Linked DNA regions of Oreochromis niloticus. The protein of the gene in region 2 interacts with the protein of the main gene of each other region in a pairwise test. Links are inferred from orthologs where the notes say so. Each region holds a gene or a part of one and is shown on either strand. Other genes may lie near its edges.

Region 1 (3,924 bases), on a different chromosome or scaffold from region 2:
CTATATTACATTTATTCAACAATGGGCTATTGAACATAAATGATTTTCTTTATTTGTTATACATGTAAAGTTATGCACAACCCTAGAGAGTCACTGACAATGCATTATAAAGCATAACAAGCACTAAATAGAGCACCATGTCCACTAATTACTTTAGGCTTAATCATGCATCGTTGAATCGGAACTTGTCAACACGATTAGTTCCTCTCTGGTTGCTATGGCCTACTTTCTCTTCATGCTGGAAGTGAGAAATAATTTCCCCATTGTGTTGTTCTCCTTTTTTCACTTTCACACTTTGAAACTGAGCAACTAAAAGATGGTATGCACTAAGTGCTTGCAGTTACTATATGCTCTTATGAACCTGCTACTACCACATTGTTTCATTACGTTATTGTCCTCTAGCAGGCGGCCCAGATGACCCACAGGAAGCCACGAGTTATCCATTTAGCTAATGAATAACCATTAAAATACTGTAACAACAGTTGCCTACTTCCAAGGACCAAGCCCCAGTGGCCCTGGTGAGACTGTAATGTAACAAGGTAAATCTCCCTAGGGTCCTTAATCAGTTCCCTGCAGGAGTACCAGCTGCACTAACTGCAGGAGACCAGATTACTCACAAGCTAAATATCCAGTTGGTATTTGTCAACTGTTACTACGTAAAAGTCCCCTCACTTTTTAAAAAAAATTTCTTTGTCTGAAATTCATGAAGGTCTCACGTAAAGGAAAAAATGTGAAAAAGACTGTTTTCCTTTTGAACTGTGTGTACATCAAATAACAGAACGTAGCATATGATTCCTGCATACTGGTTCATAGTCCTCTTATATGTCCGTGTGCTGGATGCAATATGTACGCGGGGTTTATTGATCTGTGTATAAGTTCCCTTATCGTAACAATGCAGCTCTTCTCAGCTAAAGTGCCTGTTAACTGATTTCAAATGTGAAATTTATCAACTGTTTACTGTGCAGCAAACAGATTGTTGAATGAGACTCCCAAGCAGCTCAAAACAAGCAGCACAAAGCTGAGGTGAATGTTTTACTCATAGCTTGTGCACATTGCTCACCTTGCTAAGGTAAGGTCATGTCTGTGGTATTCCAGGGCTTTGCCATACTCCTTAAGGTAGAAGTATGCATTGCCCAGCTGGCTGTAGATGGCACTGAGGGTCTTCAGGTCTTCTGTGCCGACCTTTACGGCTGCTTCGAAAAACGCTGTTCCCCCTTTGAAGTCCCCAGCCTTGCATAGCCGCTCTCCTTCCAAGGCCAATTCTAAACACGAGGCCTCCATCCTGCAAGGTACACGCATACAACAAAGTCATGAAACTAATGAAATAAAAACAATAGCCCTATCACAGATTAGGACATACAGTAAACATGGATACCATTACAGTGGGAGTGAAATATACTTTCACAGAGAGGCAGTATCACCATGACAACAAGGTCTGTAATAAATTCTGTGGATGGTTGCCTTAGTAACTGAGTTTGAGCTCGAAGATGAACACCCTGAAAAGGTGATACACTTTTAACTGCTTAAATCAGTTTACAGCCTGATGTTCGAAGACGTGCCGTTCTTTTGCATGTTCTGAGATTTTCATGAGGATATGAAACAAAATAAGACAGAGACAGAATGTCCCACCCACACCAGAGAGATAAAACATTTGAAAAACAATATGGTTCTCTACTGACTGCAATCTGAGACAATGTCATCCATTCACTTCCTTAACTGCTTATCCACTTCAGGGCTGCGGCAGCTTAAAGCCTACCCCAGCTGTCTCTGATGAGAGCAGGGGTATGGTCTGGATAGGATGCCAGACCACTGCAGGGTTATTGCATGAAGTCTTTCAAAATCTGGTATTTCTGAACAGCTAAAGGGGTTTGTATTTTGCCCTGTGTCGCACTCCATGCCTTGAAGTTAACAAAACTATGTTTCAGAGATTGAAGTTGGCTGCTGAGCTAAAATACATCAGCACATTCCAGGGAGAGATTCAATAGATACCAATGTGTCCGGCCAGAACTCACGCTGAGTTTACCACTACTCAAGCCACTAAAAACAATTCTGAGCATACGACAAGGCTTCATGAGTGAGCTGTATCCAGAAGTATACACCCTAAATGCATTGCATAATCCAGGATAAACAAGACCAGACAGTTTAGTAGTAACACTAAATTCCAGATAAAGTACTAGAATGTAGAGATAAGCAAGGATTATCCTTGCATCTAATCAAAAGGCTTTGCAAAAGGCTCCATTCAAAAGGTAAAGAGATGTACCATGAGTTTTTTGCATTACAGCTTATTTACTGTCAAATCGAAGATGCGAATGCATCTGCCTTTTTGAGGCAAAAAGGATTTACTGTGACGGGAACAGTAATTTAAAGCAGCTGACGTTACACTATGTTCTAGTCAGATTTCATAACATTGCCCTAATATGGGATGCATGTGTTCACCAATGTCATTTTGGTTTGTAAAACCTTGACGGGTTCCTTTTGAGTTTTGTTTTGTTTTTTTACAGTACCTGTGTTTTTGCTTGGTCCTTGTTTTGTCCACATACACCTGGAGCTCCAGAGGTAAAGGCTTTAGCATAGCTTGAGGTCGGGGTCCACAGTGGACAAGTCTACATACGGCTCTCTCTGCTCCAGTCAGAGGACAAGGCTCAGATGCCATGAGGGTACTGTTAAATAAAACTAACTTTATCAGAAAACTCTTAAATTAACTCTGTAGAATTAACTCTGTAGAGTTAATTTAAGTACTATGCCTACAACTAAGAATTCCTCTCACACTTTAACAAGCTGTGGTCTTATAAAGTCCATATTTCCCAGCTTCAATAAAAACCACTATATCAGCAACATTACAACAAACCTGGACACACTCCAATTGTAAATTCTAACCACAGTCCAAAGCCAGCCGAGAAAAATGTGTGCTTTTCAAGTCCTCAAGCTCGTTCCAAAACTACACGGTGAAGCAACCTGCAGACAAAACAGTCCAGAGGGAATTTCAGATAATTCCACAAGAAGGTTGAGCTCCAAAACAAGTGAATTTCTAAGACGTCACAAGTTTACAAGTTTATGTTTTATTAATCCAGGTGATTTTAATCAAGTTAAGATATCCATTGTTGTTATGTAATTCAGTTCCTGCTACTCCCAACAGAAAATTGTGCTCATCTCTGATCCTCTTCAACTTCTCCTCAAGTCTGACCCGGAGACCAGTTGTTCTATCAGGTTTAAAAAGAACAGGGGAGCATGATGACGGACCATTCTGGGCAAGAGTAGAGGAACAGTCAATGATTACAAAGTGAATACCTTACATCTAAGCTTGACCATTGCCCCAATGAGAGGCAGAGAGAAAGGATGAGAGAGACAGGGATGGCTAATCCAGTGCCATGCACCTCCTCAGTAGAGACAATACAGCACAGTGAGTGGCCTAAACAAATCCAACTACCTGCTGACACTAGCATAAACATTATTAGGTCACCAACCGAGACAGATGACACTGTGAGTAAATAAGACCTAAGGGACGTATTAAGTAAATTTATTTTCACTAAAAAGGAAACGCATGTTGCTTTTCTGTTTTTAATCTTTAGATTAACTTTATTTTAAAGCTATAAAAAACACTTCCTGCATGAAAATCTTGCCACTATGACACACGTGTCCAAGTACATTAACAAGTGCCCTACTTAACCGAGACAGTGTCACAGGGGCAGCAAGCAAAATACAAGCTAAATAAGGAATTTACAAGAGATCTCTTCACTACAGCGTTGTTTTCCCCTTTTATTAAATATCAGTCTATACAGTAACATGGAAATATACACAGGAATTTACATTTAAGACGGTTCTTTTTCCTAAAAGTTAATTTTTGCATTCTACATGTATACAATAAATGCTATTTTTGCATTTTAGGGCAAAATTACATGATAAAATTTAATGCAATTAAATTAC
Region 2 (3,924 bases):
TAAATAAATAAATAATAATATATAACCTGGCGATCGTTACAATATTATAAGTGATTTATTAAGTGAATGCATAAAATATGTCGAAGCACAATAACTAAACCACCACCAAATCGAAGTAGATGTAGATATTTGAGCTAAATGACCACTGACCTGAAACTAGGTCACCGGGCTAATCCAAACAGGGAGATGATTACATATTACAGAAGGGGGCGAATTAATAGAGCTAGGCTATTTCCTTCTTTTGGGTTTTAGAAATTGTGTTTTGAGAAACAAAAACATCTATAATTGCCAAAAAAACATTCGGGGGGCGTCACCCACACAAAGTACTCCTGTGTAAGCTAACTTAGCTAGCGCTAATCAAGCAGTCGTTTTACCTTGCCCAGGAGCGGAAGGCGTGCAGGATAGTAACAGCTCCGTGACTTCAATTTAGATTTCACTCCTCCATGTTTCCATTTTGATTAAGATGATTGACGGGAAATAATAAAATAAGACCTCGATCACCGTCGAAGAGCGACAACCCCCTCCCCGCCGCCCGTAATAAACAAGCAGCTCCTGACCTGCTGGAGAAAACTACTTTAACCATCATGCATCTCTAGAAACGCAACGTCTTGCCTGTTTGCGTAACAAAGTGGCACAAAAAGGCGCCTGTTGGCCGATTACTTAAAGCCGTCGGGGATAATTATGTTTTACCTCCTGTTTACGGTCACTTAACCGATAAACTTGTAGTTCACAGGTTCTGACTTTCACATCCAGTCTGTCATTATATTTTAACGGTTACACTCAAAGACCGCTCAACTACGTCGGCCAAATTAGCTACGGATTGGTGATGGCTCTTGTGGCACGGCACCCAAAGAAGAGCTGGCTCTTTTGGCTCCCAAATCGCTCTTAATATATTACGATCTGTAGCCTCATATTTTAGCTTTATTTGGCAAATTTGATGGGAGTTGGCTCTTCTGATTAGAGCCGATGCTTTTGCGCATGACACGTCACTACTACCGATGCTGTTTCCATGGTGATGAAACTGCACACTCTGGTAGAAGCAAGACTGTGGTGCAGTTGTCATTAGCAGGTTCTTGTAAATGTCTTAATCAATGACTTGAGATAAAAAGAAGATGTCTTCCACGGGGTCCGAGTCCTCTGAGCCCCAGAGCTATAGGCTTTCCGTCAATAGTGGCACTAACGTTTTACGATACCATTCCACAGCGAAAGATAGAACAGCAACAGCGGCAGGAACTGGAACCGCTGGTAAGCTAAATAAGCAAAGTATTGCTTGTTAGTATGCTAAACTTTATTTCAGTAACTTGGACGGTTCCTATTTATTTTATAGATCCCCATGGTACCCCTCTTCGGTTGAGATTCAACAGTGTGACGCTGGACGAGCTGAGGTAACATACTCACCCAAATTAAACTAAGACTAAGACTTCTTTCTTTCACTATATTGCACTAAGACTTCTTTCTTTCACTATATTGACTAAGACTTCTTTCTTTCACTATATTGCACTGTATTATCAAGATTATAAATGTCCTGTCTCACAGTGATACTGAAAAGTAGTTCATGCATGTGCCACTCTTGGATGGACTGTTATAATTCCTATTAAGCCGGCTGTTCTAAAAGCTCCCCGAAAAAGCATCCAAATCATCAAATCATCATCCAAGTCACAGCAGCAAGAGTATTAACAGGGACTGGAAAGAGAGATCGCATTTGTCCCGTGTTAGCTCATCTTCATTGGCTTCCTGTTGAAGCCAAAATTGAATATCTTAGTAACCTCATAGTACCATATTATCCTAACAGAGCACTTCATTGTAAGACTGCCCTGCTTACTTGTAGTTTACTGTGCTTTAAGTAAAGTGGGAGGCAGAGCCTTCAGCTATCCTCTCCTGTGGAACCAGGTCCTGGTTTTGATGCATGGCAGTCTTCCTCACAGCTTTAACGATTAGGCTTAAAACCTTCTGTTTTGAAAAAAGAAAATAAATCAGGCTGTGCTGCAGTGGGCACTATTAGTAAACAAATCTGAACTGAATTCACTGTATGAGTTAGTCTAAGCCTGAGCTTCCATGTATTGACAGTGATGAGCTTGATCGCCGCACCAAAGAAACCCAAAGACTACAAGAAGAGGTGGAAAATGCAACTAAGGTGGTTCTGGAGAGATTTGGCGGCAGCTGTAGGTCACCTGGACAAAGCTGCCATGATATTAAACCTCATACCTGTGAGTACAAGTGTTTCCACACATCTTGTTTATGCCACTCTAACTTGAAAGATGGGGGGGAAATGTGTTATCTAATGGCTTATTTATTATTGTTTTACAAAATCCAGAGTAGAATAAAATGGCTGAAAACCAAAGGCACAGAAGTACTGAAGCTCAAATTCTTCTAAGCTATTTTAGTCTCAGAAAATGTTTAAATCCAAATAACTAGTATGCATACACAGAAGGGAAAGAATTCAACATAAACAAACACCCTATCTTAACAGTGACAGCGTACGCTCTGAGTGTTTTAAACGTCTGTTGCTGTTTTGGCAGATGACTCTCTTGGAGATTCCTCCTTTCTTTCAACCCACCAGCAGGCAGTGACTCAGCCTTTGGTCTTTGGTCTGGATATTTTAAACCAGGAAGTAGCCCAAAGGGACATCAGCTCTCCTGGAAAGGAGGTGTTAGAAAATGCAATGGATGACTGCCTTCAGCAGCTGTCAGACTTGCAGCTCAACAAGGTTCATATTTTTATTGCATCCATAAATCCTTTGGAATAGTTTGGTTATGTATGATGTGAATAGCAGAGGAGGGTAGTGCACTTTCTGCATTATGTATCTTTTATGTTTCATCTCCTCAAACACAGACAGTTAATCGAGCTGAACAAGAAACATGCTGTCCTCAGAAAGCCATCACAAACCTGAAAACTGAGCTGCATAAAGTCCAGATGGAGAAAGATGCCCTGTCTGACCTGAGGTGAAAACACAGATACAGTTTTACATATATAAAATAAAATGCCTGAATCACTTTGACCCACAGATCTTTTGATTTTTAGATTAAAGGATTCGAGGAAACACGTTGATCAGATGGAAAAGATGCTGTGCTTGTTGGAAGAGCTTCAGAAACTCAAAAGGTCGAGGGACAAGAAGCTGCAGGAGATGGAGAATGAGGCAGTCGCGCTTAATAGGAAAGTTGAAACATTGGAGCAGACCATAAAGGAGGTGTATCATACATTGGATGGGAAACAATCTGAACACTCAGTCACCGGCACTAAACATGGGAACCGCGAAACGCAGCAATTTTTTCCTAATGAACGACTGAACGACAAGCTACAGGGGAGGCCTTTTTTGGTAAGTGATAGCATTCAGTAGAGTACAATAATGGGTGTATTTTACAAAAAAAATATGACTTGTGATTTTTTTCTTTCTGTTTCATATCAGTCAGAAGATCAGATAGGGAACAAGGAATACAGTGGAGCAATTGAACAGGAAAGGTATATAATTTTCCTAACTAATCAATGAATTCTGTCATTTACTGAATGTCAACAACTGCCCATCACAGATTCTTAGAGCTGGGTTTGTCAAACCTGTTGTACAAAAGCTAAAGATTTTCCACTCACTCACACGAAGTACAAAGTAAAGCAGCAAATTTACATGATAAATTATCAGAATGTTTGTGTGTGATTTTTGCCATAATTTGTTTCACTTTTGAAGAATATTTATAGTATAAATACCAACTTCAGTGTAACAGTTGTTTTTTTTATTTCTTAATGGAGCAGCCAGTTTAAGTTATTCTGTTGAAAATATGCTCAAACATAATGATTGTCATCTTCTTGTCAGAAACAAAATTGAGAAATTCTTGCCTTTAGTGATTAACCAACTCTTTATTGAATAATAGCAATTGTTTTTATTACTTCTCTTCAGTTCTTGTGTGCCATCAAAGTAACAAAGTAAACTTA

What was found.
Region 1: the proteins of coiled-coil domain-containing protein 158 (region 2) and gpsm1b interact in a two-hybrid assay, tested with the Homo sapiens proteins (2 studies listed by BioGRID and IntAct). The link is inferred for Oreochromis niloticus from reciprocal best matches to the Homo sapiens genes CCDC158 and GPSM1.

What each region holds. Positions count from the first base shown.
Region 1 is NC_031972.2:19,260,404-19,264,327, reverse strand, and holds the start of gpsm1b (G-protein-signaling modulator 1b), read right to left. Parts: upstream 3,181-3,924; 5' UTR 2,654-3,180; coding exon 2,505-2,653; intron 1,283-2,504; coding exon 1,061-1,282; intron 1-1,060. UniProt on the Homo sapiens protein: Guanine nucleotide dissociation inhibitor (GDI) which functions as a receptor-independent activator of heterotrimeric G-protein signaling.
Region 2 is NC_031977.2:28,603,079-28,607,002, reverse strand, and holds the start of coiled-coil domain-containing protein 158, read left to right. Parts: upstream 1-1,087; 5' UTR 1,088-1,112; coding exon 1,113-1,245; intron 1,246-1,327; coding exon 1,328-1,385; intron 1,386-2,067; coding exon 2,068-2,207; intron 2,208-2,519; coding exon 2,520-2,707; intron 2,708-2,832; coding exon 2,833-2,942; intron 2,943-3,021; coding exon 3,022-3,316; intron 3,317-3,406; coding exon 3,407-3,459; intron 3,460-3,924.